2 linked regions of the Nothobranchius furzeri genome follow. The protein of the gene in region 2 interacts with the protein of the main gene of each other region in a pairwise test. Links are inferred from orthologs where the notes say so. Each region holds a gene or a part of one and is shown on either strand. Other genes may lie near its edges.

Region 1 (6,914 bases), on a different chromosome or scaffold from region 2:
TGACAACTGTTGTGCATTTTTGGTGTGACAAAGTGTCTTAAAAACATCTCAATGTTTTCCCACATTTCTCACACTTTCTTCCTCAAGGTCACCAAATTGGGAAAAGTTCTACATAGGTTCCAGATTCCCGAGGGAACTGGAGAAACACTAAAGTGAAACTCTGTAACTCAGAGAAGGACATGGCAAAAATGGTAAATGGCCTGTATTTGATATAGCGCCTTCTAGAGTCCTGGAACCCCCAAGGCGCTTTACAGCACAATCAGTCATTCACCCATTCACACACACATTCACACACTGGTGGGGATGTAGCCACAGCTGCCCTGGGGCGCACTGACAGAGGCGAGGCTGCCGAGCACAGGCGCCACCGGTCCCTCCGACCACCACCAGCAGGCAAGGGGGGTTAAGTGTCTTGCCCAAGGACACAACGACAGCGACAGACTGAGCAAGGCTCGAACCTGCAACCTTCCGATTACGGGGTGAACACTTAACTCCTGTGCCACCGTCGTCCCGAAACATCTAAAAAGAAACTAAAAACGCACGCCAACATTTAGGCAACAACAACCACAGCCCAGTGATATATACTGGTTTAACTGATGCTTGTCTTTCTGAACACAAACACATGGACAGATTAGTTATAACGCATACAAACTCAAGTCAATTAAGAAAAAACAACAAGATCAGGAACGGCAAAACTTCAGGACTCATTTTTCATAAGTAGCCTTGTTTATTCTGACTAATTATTAGATCAGAGCTCTACATGGAGGGAATAGTTGCAAACGGAAGCTTTGTGGTGAGAAACACAACAGATCAGAAATGGACTGGGGAGACTCACCTCTTCTTGTGGGTGGGGTTTCTCTGCAGTCCAAACCTGCAGCATGGGAACATGAGTCTTGACTCTTCTCCTGAAAATATAATGGCATTACAGAGCTAAATGTAGAATGAAATTATTTCATTGGATTAAACCATTCTTTCAATAATGAGAATGTAAAACAGTAAAGAATAGAGAAAAAAAAAGGCAGAAGTCTCACTTGAGGTAGCCTTCGATCTGGCTGAGTAGTCGGTCCATCTCAACGTCCTTCTTCTCATAAAGCTCCTTACCAACCCAGGGCAGACAGGACAGAACAACGTACACAAACCAGTCAGACCGAACCTGAGGAAACAAGGAGACCAGTTACACCCCCGTAAGACACACATGTAATGCAGCCAGGTCCATATGAGAATCATTAGTCCCAAATGTGTTGATTAATCATAAATCACGTCATAATCTTATGAAATATATTTGACTGTAATCTGTTAACAATTCTGAACAAATCTGTTTCCCAAATAACTGAATCAGAATGACATAACCCAAGTTCACGTTTACCTTTATTTATTTACTGAATCTTTATTTAACCAGATGAGTCAATTGAGAACTCATTCTCATTTACAACAAGGGTCTGGCAAGAGGCATTAGCAACAGACACATAATTAGCTTTACACCAAAGAAAAACAGATAAGATAAAAACGTTAGACAAAGGACTGTTCTCATATAAAATATGTACAAGCAATTATAACAATCTTTAAGTACTCAGAAGCAGGCATATTGATCAGAAACTGTTGATTACCTGTGGGACATCCTCCTCCTGAGTAACACTCACAAAGTTTTCAAACATGGCCACCATAGAAGGAGCAGCAATCACGTGACAGTTGACCAAGTCAGACAGAAAACGCACCTGAAAACCAAAAATTAACCCATCATGATGAATTTTAAACTCCCTTTTGTGAAGATTTATTGTGTGAAAATCAGCTTTACCAGGTAAACAGCTTCATTGTACAAGTTGTTTTTCAGGGTCTCCTTCAGCTGTCTGATCATGGCCTCCACAAACTCGCCTCCAAAGTTGTAGTTCCTGGCGTTGAGAAGGCCGACCAAGGTTGTGTAGACGGTAAGCTTCTCAGGTAGCAGGCGGGCGCTGTTGACACACAGTGCTTTAGTAAAGTCTGCCTTCTGAATGCCTCTTTATTAATCAGAAAGCAATAACCTATACAAACATACACAGAACATAAAATACGCAGAATTTTGTTTTTGTAGTTTGGAAGATCTGCCTCTAAGACGCCCGCAAGGCCCTCCAAGTTGCTCTCGAGGGATGATGTACTCTGTTAATAACAAAATACAACAGAGTCAAGTGATGGAGATTTCAGAGCATCTCTCTGTCTGTCTGCTCTTACTTTCTCCCCAACACGACATATCAGGGATTCCAGACGATCTTCAATCTCAATAGGTTCAGAAGTTCTCCTCCTCTTGTGAGCTTGACCTCCTGGTGGGTAAAAGAGTCACACAATCAACACATGTTCATAAACTCTGACCGACACCACAGAAAACACCAACAGAATCTGCGTAAATGAGTAATACATGTAAACACTTGCATATTTATTTGATAAAGGTTGTGTTGTGCTAAGAAACACCTAGATTAACAGAAATTAAGCTGATGTTTAAAAGCTTACACTTTTTAATCGAAGCAGTGCCTTTTAGCAACTTCATCATTGTAACCCAATAAAGGTATTCCTCTGTTAAGGTCACCAGACACAGACATCGCCACACCATAACCCAGTGTCCTTGCATGGCATCAGGGGGCAGACAAGTGTCCGAGTTCAGACTCACTCTAGTTCAGTAGACAAGAACATCTAATCCTAATGTTCAAAACAGTATTATCTATTGAAGATGACAGGCCAAGTGTGTGTGTGTGAGTGTCTTGATAAGGCGTAAAGACTTGCGCAAAAGAATGAGCAACACATCAAAGTTGATTCCTTTAACACAGTTTACGGAGTATGAGAAAGTTTCTTCTCCTAACTCACATCAACACATGAGCCCCTTTTTAGATAATTAATCTGTTAGCAGCATTATAAAAGGAGAATGTCAATACTTTAGCAATTATTCTGTTCCAGAGTGAAGTTCAAGGCTTTTAATCCTTGCTATTTTGACCTGTTGAGGACATACTGACAATGAGACATTATCTGCTTGACAAACCTTCTCAGTGGCCTAGTGGTATGGGTCTCCACCCTGCGACTAGGAAATCAGGGTTCAAATCTGGTTGGGTCATACCAAAGACTTTAAAAATGGGACCCAATATCTCCCTGCACTCAGCTTTAAGGGACTGCATTGGGGGACTAAACCACCAAATAGTTCCCAAGTGCAGCCATCGCTGCAGTTCGCTGCTGCCCACAAGGATGTGTCAAATGCAGAGATGTAATTTCACCAGTGTGCGATGATGACTAATGGGACTTTAAATAAAACTGACAACAATGGAAGGTTTCTGAAACATTCACTTGAAGCTCACACATACTTTTAGGCAGTTACATGACTATTTAAGATTTTTCTCATTCCATGTTTTGTTTTCCATTACCAGCATCTGCATATTATACATGGGTTCAACTGTGAACACATTTCTGTACAAGCAAAAGGGAGAAACGTTTAAAAATGGAATACGCACTGCTTTAACAAAATCAATAGGACAGACACTGGAAATCAAATATTTTCTCTAGAATGATGCTTGTTAGCAGTTTAGCTCACCACATGACGTGTCAGGATTAATTTCCGACTCAGTTTTACACTTTTAACAACTTACCAGAAATGATCCAATTATCAGGTTGTGTATCTTTTACTCATTGGTACCGCCTCCATATCAGTTTAGTTAGCCATCAATCAGCTAACAGTAACAGCATAGGTTATTGGCGGTTGTCTTACGCTGTTCATTCAGCTTCGCTGTTTAGTTTTGCACAAATGTCAGCTGATAACGAGTTTGCTCTTTTTAATTTTGATGGAAGCTATCCAAAAACTCCACGTGTATTAGCAAAACAAATAACCAACATGGGTGAAGGAAAGGAAAACACGCTAATGTTAGCCTATTAGCCTAAAGTGTGACTGAATCTCCGCCGATTTACCGTCATTCTCGTCGCTGTGTCGTCTCCGGGACATATTAGGCCACTTTAAAATCCACACAAGACAACCAAAAGAAAAAACCGATATGAAACGAAGCAGCAAGTCGGACGAACTAGCTGATACTTAGTTAATTTAGCCTGTGCAACGCAGAAACCACCGCAGAAAAATAACAGCGGTATGATTCAAGTGGAGAACTTCCGGGGCAGCACGAGGTCAAATGAAAAGTCCGTCCTCCTATTTCGTCCGACATTGTCGGAAACACGTTTGTGACCTTTTTTTCCTCACCGTGTTTGAGAGTTTATGTTTGGTAAGATGGCAGCAAATAAATGTTAGGACAGCAAGGCACGATCACTGTCTTAAAATGTATTTAATTTAGACAAAAAATCGACTAACTGGCAGTGTTTAACAGCTTCGTTAGGATGGAAGCGATTGAAACCGGCTGCTTCATGAATTTGGATGTTGATTTTTCGACAAGTAATGGATTAAAACAGGAGAGACAACTTTCTGCCTCACAAAGAAGATACTACAGTTTCTGCAGAAGAAAGGTGGGGAAAAAACAATGACCGTTTGTTGGCTTTATGATGAGCTAAGTTATAATAATAATGTATACTTTTTTGTGTATTTCTGATTTGAATGCTGTTTTTGTATTGGTGTACAGCGCTTTGTTTGTCCTCCTGGGCATGTGAAAGCGCTCAATAAATAAAGTTGAACTTATATTATGTAAATACTGGTTTATTTAAATAGTTGTAAATGCAGCATTTATTTTATCTGTTTACATGTCTGACAAATGTTAGGTATCAAAATAAAAACAAAATAACCTGCAGCGACAAACTTCATCCCACATTAAACTTAGAATTTTGCACACATTTACTTAAACTAAATGCCATTCGTGCTTCTTCCTTTTCACAGTCATTTGCTGCCTTCGTAGCATCGAAGAAGGAGTGTGCAGGAAAAGGAAGCACATCTTGGTGCTGCTGTAGCCTGACCTTCGTCGAACATGCTGAGATTCACCAACATGTGGCCAAAACTCACAATTCTAGTATACAGCAGCTCACGCAGGCCACATATGAACATTTGCTAAGCCAGCTGGAAAAAGACACAGAAACACAGCAGCTGAAAGGGAAAAAGACGGAGGCAGTGGACATTTCAATGTGGATACCAGATATCAGCCACATCCCTGAGGGTGAACTAAAAAAGTAAACAGAATGGAGTATATACATATCTATATCCATCCCCTTTATAGATTTGATCAGATTTCAACATATGCAGATTGTTTATTTCTTGTTTTTATGAAGTGGTCCTGGGAAGGTTCTGCTCTATTATTGTTACTGTGAAGTGGACGATCCACATGCTGTCTGTGCATGGCAGGAAGCTCTGTGTGAGTCACTTCACCTAACCGGCAAGGTAAGAAAACCCTTTCAGCTAGACTCTAGCACATCATATCAGAAAATAGAGGATTTTAAAGAAACATTTAAGTAGTTAAAATGTCAATCATCTTCTGTAGGTAAGGGTAGCAGCAGAAGGCATCAACGGGACAGTTGGTGGTACCAACGTGGCCACTGATCTTTACATCAATGCAATGCTTTCACATCCTTTCTTCAAGATGGAGAAAGAGGATTTTAAGGTCAGAATTAGAGGAAAAGCAGTCATGTTGCATGTTGTTAACATTTCATTCCCTGTGAGAGCCCAATTTAAACTTTAAAAATGTCTTGAAATCATTATTATTGCCAGTATTTATAATCTTCTGTGTGTTGGTGTCTGTTCAGACCAGTGATGGTGGTGCTGAGTGTTTTAGACATTTGAAGGTCGGGGTCTTTAAGGAGATTGTCCCAATGGGTGTGGATCCTGATGTTGTTTCCTACCAAATGGCAGGTTTGTGCAACAAGTGCTACAGTGAGATCTAATATAGGGAGAACTGCCAAATTTAGTTGTATTTTGCTGTTTTTAGTGGGTTTTTGTTGTCGGGCCAGCTTAATTTCTGTTTGACGTCTCAGGAGTTCACCTGGAACCAGAAGAGTTTCATAAAGAAGTGGAGACTGCTTTGGCTAAAGGGGATTTGTGTAACGACACCATCCTCTTGGACTGTCGCAACTTTTACGAGAGCAAAATTGTGAGTAGTAATTTTATTTTTTAAGCCAAGCAGGATCTTCACTAAAACACTACACTGAGGTGTTTGGTGTTTCATCTGCAGAAACCGATTGTGTTTGATGTGATTCTTATCGTTGTGAGAAATTAAATAAATGCGTCTTTGCGGAACACGTTTAGTCAGCAGCATGTGCCTTATTACACAAGATCCCCGAGGTCCAACAGCTCCCACAATTCACGTGGAAATGAAAACTTCTTTGTTCTGTAGAACTTCACATCTGTGGAAGCATTGTTTAAAATAGATGTTGAATTCAGAGCTTTGTGTCATTTTAGCACTGTTTCTGGTGATTGCTTTGGTTGTGAAATCAGACGTTGGTCTTGGGAGTTTGTGTAATATTTTGTGGCACAAAGCCAGATTGATTCCATGAATTAGATTTTATTTTCTCCTCAGGGACAGTTTACTCAATGCCTGGCCCCAAATATCCGTAAATTCAGTTATTTCCCGGATTACGTCGACCAGAACCTGGAGCTGTTCAGGGACAAGAAGGTCCTCATGTACTGCACCGGAGGGATTCGCTGTGAGCGTGGCTCTGCCTACCTTCGCTCAAAAGTAAGATCGTCATGCGGTTTATTAATCTCTCTTTTTTTGAAAGCTTCTTGTGGAACCGATTTGATTTAAAGGTTAACACCAGAGGAACTTGTGCATGCCTTTTTCCAACGATCTGTGTCCGGATCATGGGGGCAGCAGCCACTTTCACCCCCTCCTCTTGTGGAGCCAGCCTGGAGATCTGATCCCTCCAGTATGTTCTGGATGTTTTCTGGGCCCTCCTGCCAGCGGGACGTGCCTGAAACATCTACCCGAGGAGTAGAGGCCGGCCGATATATTCAGTTTTTTCTACATCGGCCATTGTCC
Region 2 (5,510 bases):
CCATGTTAAAAATGCCATGTTCACAGCAGAAATAAACATGTTTACAGCCTGATTAAAAAAAGATTTTAGGTTTAATAGATCTAGTTTACATTCATGACAACTCTGAGGGGGGTGAATTTTCTTGTAACTCTTCCGTTTAAGTGTAATTAAACGCTTGAAATTATGAATAATTAGATTTGATTGACAGGTTGCAAGAGTGTCAGAGCTAGTGCCAGCGGCTAGCTCCTGTGAAGACTTGTCACTTATAAATCACAGTTCGTGAAACATAAAATACGGCATTCGTGTGAGTCGTTAAGTTCCGAAGAGTTTTTCAGGAGGTGTGGGGTCTGGTTCAGTCTGTCTCTCTAAGATTCCCTTTTCAGAGAGGGGAGGGGAATCCATCTTGTTCACAAAATATCTTTGTTGTAGCATGTCACACATCATCATTTGGCCAATCACAGTCAGAGAGTGATTACTGATTACTTGCTGTGAGAGTATTCACAACATTCATTACTTGCTTCAACATCTCACAATGGGTGGAGTTCAAAGTTCAACTTTACTCATATTTTTAGTACATTTGCAGTAGGAATGGACAATATGGCATAAAATCTATATCACAAAAAATGTTGAAGCACTTGAAATAACAATAAATATCTTGATATGTTATTTTCTTCTGTTTATGTCAAAATGACTGTGGTCCTCCCTGGTAAGGTCTATTCAGGGGTTCTGGAGTGGAGGGTCTGACGGATTGTCGAACCTCAGATTCAGGAGGAGCAATGTGGTTTTCGTCCTGGCCGTGGAACACTGGTCCAGCTCTATACCCTTAGGGGTACCTGGGAGTTTGCCCAATCAATCCACATGTGTTTGTGGATTTGGAGAAAGCATTTGACCGCGTCCCCCGGGTGGCCCTCTGGGGGGTTCTTCGAGAGTATGGGGTACCAGGCCCTCTGATACGGGCTGTTAGGTCCCTGTATGACCGGTGTCAGAGCTTGGTCCGCATTGCCGGCAGTAAGTCGAGCTCGTTACCGGTGAGAGTTGGACTCCGCCAAGGCTGCCCTTTGTCACCGATTCTGTTCATAACTTTTATGGACAGGATTTCTCGGCACGGCCAAGGTGTGGAGGGCATCTTTTTTGCTTTTTGGGTAGTGACTGAATGAACGAGATGGCAGGTACAAGCGGCCAAAATGAGTTTTCTCCATAGGGTGGCTGGGCTCTCCCTTAGGGTGACAAGCTTGGTCACCCAGGAGGGGCTTGGAGTAGATCCGCTGCTCCTCCACATCGAGAGGAGCCAGTTGAGATCTGATTAGGATGCCTCCTGTGAGGTTTACTGGGCACGTCCAACCAGGAGAAGACTTAATGGAAGACCCAGGACACGCTGGAGGGACTACGTCTCTCAGCTGGCCAGGGAACGCCTTAGGATTTCCCTGGAGGAGCTGGCCCAAGCGGCTGGAGAGAGGGAAGTCTGGGCCTCCCTGCGACGTCAACAGAGTTTGTGTGTGAAATCCCTGATTTATAAACACTACCGTCTTAAGACAGGAGAAGGTTTAGCTAGAAGCTTAAAATCTGTATTGAAGACAAAAAAAAGTTATTAAAAGCCCATATGAGCTCTGGGATGACAACAAACATTGGTCCGATTTGCCGGTGTTCTGAGTTTGCAGGTATGATACTGATATTGGTGTTTACACTAATAATCTTAATACCTTTATAATGCAAGTCATTGAGCTTATTTGAAATCTTGTTGTTTGGCAACAAGCGCTACTGAAATATTTCAGTAACCTATGAGCGTTAACATACGGTGAACGACACAAAACTCAGATTCATATCAGTTTGTCCAGATCTACTGCCCCACTTTACCACTCTGAAACTTTCATTGTTAAGTCTCTTTATTGAGTGTTCCCGCTTCCTTCCCCACTGCAGGCGGTGGAGGCTGCACAGCTGGCAGAGGACCTGAAGGTGCAGCTGGAGCACACACAGGGCAAGCTGAAGGAGATCCAGGTCTCCGTGGCTGAGAACCGCACCGCTCGGGAGAGGGAGAGCAGCAACCTGAAACGAGCACAGGTACGCCGAATCCCCACGCCTGGGGATGTATTACCCCAAATCGAATTTAGTGGCTCTCAAGGTTCCGATTAAACACATTTGGTTTTGGTTAAGACATTTAGTTCCAGCTCTAACAACTCTCTTCCTCACGGTCTCCCAGGAGGATCTGTCCAGGCTGAGGCGGAAGCTGGAGAAGCAGAAGAAGGTGGAGGTGTACTCTGACGCGGACGAGATCCTACAAGAGGAGATCAATCAGTACAAGGTGAACAGAAATGTTCTTACTGGTCACAAAAGAATCCAGCTCATAGTGGGAGGAAAACAGTTCAGTTTAGCAAACAACAGTCAAAATACTAATTGCAACAATTTTGTGGTTGTTCTGGAAACTCGGGACCATAAAGAGGCCTTAAGCCTTCTCAGAACCACAGTGCTCTCAGTACTCACACCTGTGACTTGTTACACCCTTAAAGAAACCCATCCAGTCCCTAGAGGTGATAAAAGCTTTGGCATGTCAGTAACAGCCCACACACGTGTATTTATCCATCCTCAGGCCAAGCTGCGGTGCCCCTGCTGCAACACGCGAGACAAGGAGACGGTTCTCACCAAGTGTTTCCACGTTTTCTGCTACGAATGTCTGAAGATGCGTTACGACACCCGACAGAGGAAGTGCCCCAAATGTAACTGTGCCTTTGGAGCCAATGACTTTCATCGCATCTACATCACCTAGGTCGCCCAGCAGTGGAGCAAAGGAAAGAAAATTGAAGACAGAACCAAAGGAGGGGGAAAACATGGAGGAGAACTGAAGATCTATTACACGCTGTAGACATGTTTGGGATAAGGAATGAGTGTATCCCTGTTTTTGAGGAAAAAAAAGACTCGTGTCACATTTTTGTCATTCAGTGACCAAACCTAGTGATATATCTGACCAAGAGTGTTGTGATGTAGTTAATAAACACCCACAGAGCCGTTCTGGTTGATACTACACGTCAGGGCCAACTTTTAAAGCTTTTTAATGTATAGAAAAAGTGCAGTGGAACATGCTTGATCGTAATGAAGTGTTTCTTTGAACGCTTTTGTCCTGCTGGTTATGGAAGTCATTTGAAATCGCTGAAGCTTAAAGTTCTAAATTAAAAGAAGCCATCCCTTACAGACTGGAGGTTTGCATGTTTAAAGCTAAATGTGTTTCCAATCTAACAGCCAGATTTGTCTTACGTCTCTGCTTGGGCTATAGTATTAACAATGCCCGAGAGACATCAGCGAGTCTGGCAGCGGATCAGCACATACAGGAGTGTTTGGATCACCTTGGGCAAGCTGGGCTTGTGTGCATGAGTTCATTATGTTGCCATGGTTCCTGTTGGAGAGGTTGACACAACATCTGCAGCTTATAGTGGCTCATTACTGATGAAATCACTGCAGTGGAAAGTCAGCTCATATGGGTGTTCTTAGTGCAGCTCCAAGTCCCCCTCGAGTGCTTTTATTCCTAAAGGTTCGACGTGACAGCGGAGTACAAAAACATCTGTGCAAAAACATGCCCCCTCCTCTTTTATTTATTTATTTTTTGTTGTTTTTCACTCCAATTTGATGATGTGAAATATTTACAAAGAGTTTGCATAGCGTCTGTTTGACGTTAGTTCTTGTGGGAAAGGCAGTTCACACCACTCTAGAAGTCCCAGGCTGCAGAGATTAGCGGGGAAGGAGAAGAAAGGAAAAAAGAAAACCTGTATTAGGCATTTGGGAACAGTTAGCTCAGACTTCCTGCAGGAATTGGACATCATGTGGTGAAATAACTGGGCATTCGTTTGAACACATTCATATATTTGCATCACCAGAAAGTGCAGATGTATGGTTCTCATTAGACAGTGCTGTGACTGGGGTGAGCCTGATACTGTGTCCACTGGCTTTGTTATTGCATATTTGTGCTGCAGCAGCAGGCTACACCCAAGCCCAGGCATTAATAACACCACCCTGAGTCAGGGACACTGCTTCTATCAGAAAAATGAAGTTTACTTTTATTGCCTTGAATGTTGTTTGGGGCACAAAGTTTCTTCTGAAGTCTGCAAACTTTAGCTTAGAAAGCAGATTATTTTACTGGTGGGTGTCATCTGTTTCTGCCTGAGTTGCTGTTCCTCTCAGACCCCAGCCAGAGACTTGTGTACTTTGGCACGCGCTGGGAATGACGTCGACAGGCGTGGTAATAACAATGAGAACAACATAAATCCGGATCATACAGTGAAAAGGCAAGAAAAACGGGTGGGATGTGAACGTAAATATGAAATATGTGAAACTTCCATGGCTTAAGTGGTTTAGATGAAACTTTCACTTGAAACACGTGAAGCTGCGCGCGGGGCTTCCTGTGCGTAGCGAGAGAGAGAGAGAGAGAGCAGATAGGAAATGACTCATAGGAGTTGAACTGTTTAGCGTGGGTGTGTGCGTTATTAAAGCAAGGCGCAGACTCCTCCGCATGACTCACTCTCTGATGCTCGCTTTTCCATGCTGAAAATCCAGCACGGATTGTTAATCAGATGAACTTTTGGGAACCGTGGTGCCGACAGCGAGCAGCTCTCCATCCGCGTCCAGCATGGTTTCCACCGCTCTTTGCGCACCCTGCGTCTTTATTCTAGCGGCTCTGACCAGTCTCCATGGCTTGAGCGCAGAGATAAGTGAGTAAAACGATCTTGTTTTTTCCCTCACAACTTTGTTTCTTTACTAAAACTGTTCAACGTTTCAGCTCAATGAAGTCATTCTGTTTCTTTTCCCGAGTTGGTTTGAAACAATTGTGTCTTTGTTGTCCTGATGGAGCTCAAGGAGCCCAGATAGCGGCTGTTTACAGAACCGCTTCCTTTACCAGCTGCGTGTCTCACCGGTTCCGCATTCCGATCGCCTTACCGCAGCCATCCGCGCCCCTGGGTAGGTGGCGCAGGCTGCGTCCGCTTTGCGTAAAGACGCCTTTTACCATCTCTTGAAACAACAATGGCTGCTTATAATCGGTCCTATACGTTTGGATCAATCCCAAAGGAGAACCTGACTCACTGGCATCTAAAAACATCAACATCTAAAAGTATTAAATGACTAAACATGTCAGTTTCGTTTTCCCCCCAAATGTAATTTTTATGGTTGAACCATTTCTACATCTGGACATCAGCTGTTGCTGCAGCCGCCTCTTTCCATTTCGTGATAAAACACTTCACTTCCACACCCCTTCTGCACAGAAACACACCTGAAACCCAAAACTCCTAACTTTTAGTTCCTCACAGAAAACAGCTTCAGGTTTGTGTTTGGTGAAATTTGCTCAAGATGCCTCTCAGGTTTGGGTTAGATCAGAGGTCAAACACCAGTCACTTCCTCCCAGAGCTCCAGCCCTTTGGGGTGATTTAGGGCTGCTTACATGAACTGACACATTTCAGCCAATAGAGGCTAAGAAGTGAGTCAGTAAGTCCAGATTTGCTCCAGGAAGGAGCGTCTCCGAAGGTCTGAGCATGTGGCTGTAATGTAAGCAA

The links.
Region 1: the proteins of rnf40 (region 2) and nuclear cap-binding protein subunit 1 interact in binary tests that used the Homo sapiens proteins (3 or more experiments, as listed by UniProt). The two-hybrid records come from large-scale screens. The link is inferred for Nothobranchius furzeri from reciprocal best matches to the Homo sapiens genes RNF40 and NCBP1.

Annotation. Positions count from the first base shown.
Region 1 is NC_091741.1:71,546,400-71,553,313, forward strand, and holds the start of nuclear cap-binding protein subunit 1, read right to left. Parts: upstream 4,091-6,914; 5' UTR 3,953-4,090; coding exon 3,919-3,952; intron 2,295-3,918; coding exon 2,206-2,294; intron 2,134-2,205; coding exon 2,033-2,133; intron 1,950-2,032; coding exon 1,793-1,949; intron 1,713-1,792; coding exon 1,605-1,712; intron 1,151-1,604; coding exon 1,029-1,150; intron 903-1,028; coding exon 833-902; intron 1-832. Other genes in the region: thiosulfate sulfurtransferase/rhodanese-like domain-containing protein 2, read left to right, coding at 4,336-4,461, 4,826-5,112, 5,212-5,320, 5,421-5,540, 5,683-5,788, 5,911-6,026, 6,453-6,611. UniProt on the Homo sapiens protein: Component of the cap-binding complex (CBC), which binds cotranscriptionally to the 5'-cap of pre-mRNAs and is involved in various processes such as pre-mRNA splicing, translation regulation, nonsense-mediated mRNA decay, RNA-mediated gene silencing (RNAi) by microRNAs (miRNAs) and mRNA export.
Region 2 is NC_091756.1:31,892,478-31,897,987, reverse strand, and holds the end of rnf40 (E3 ubiquitin-protein ligase BRE1B), read left to right. Parts: intron 1-1,896; coding exon 1,897-2,037; intron 2,038-2,176; coding exon 2,177-2,278; intron 2,279-2,563; coding exon 2,564-2,740; 3' UTR 2,741-3,160; downstream 3,161-5,510. Other genes in the region: uncharacterized protein si:rp71-1c10.7, read left to right, coding at 4,592-4,673.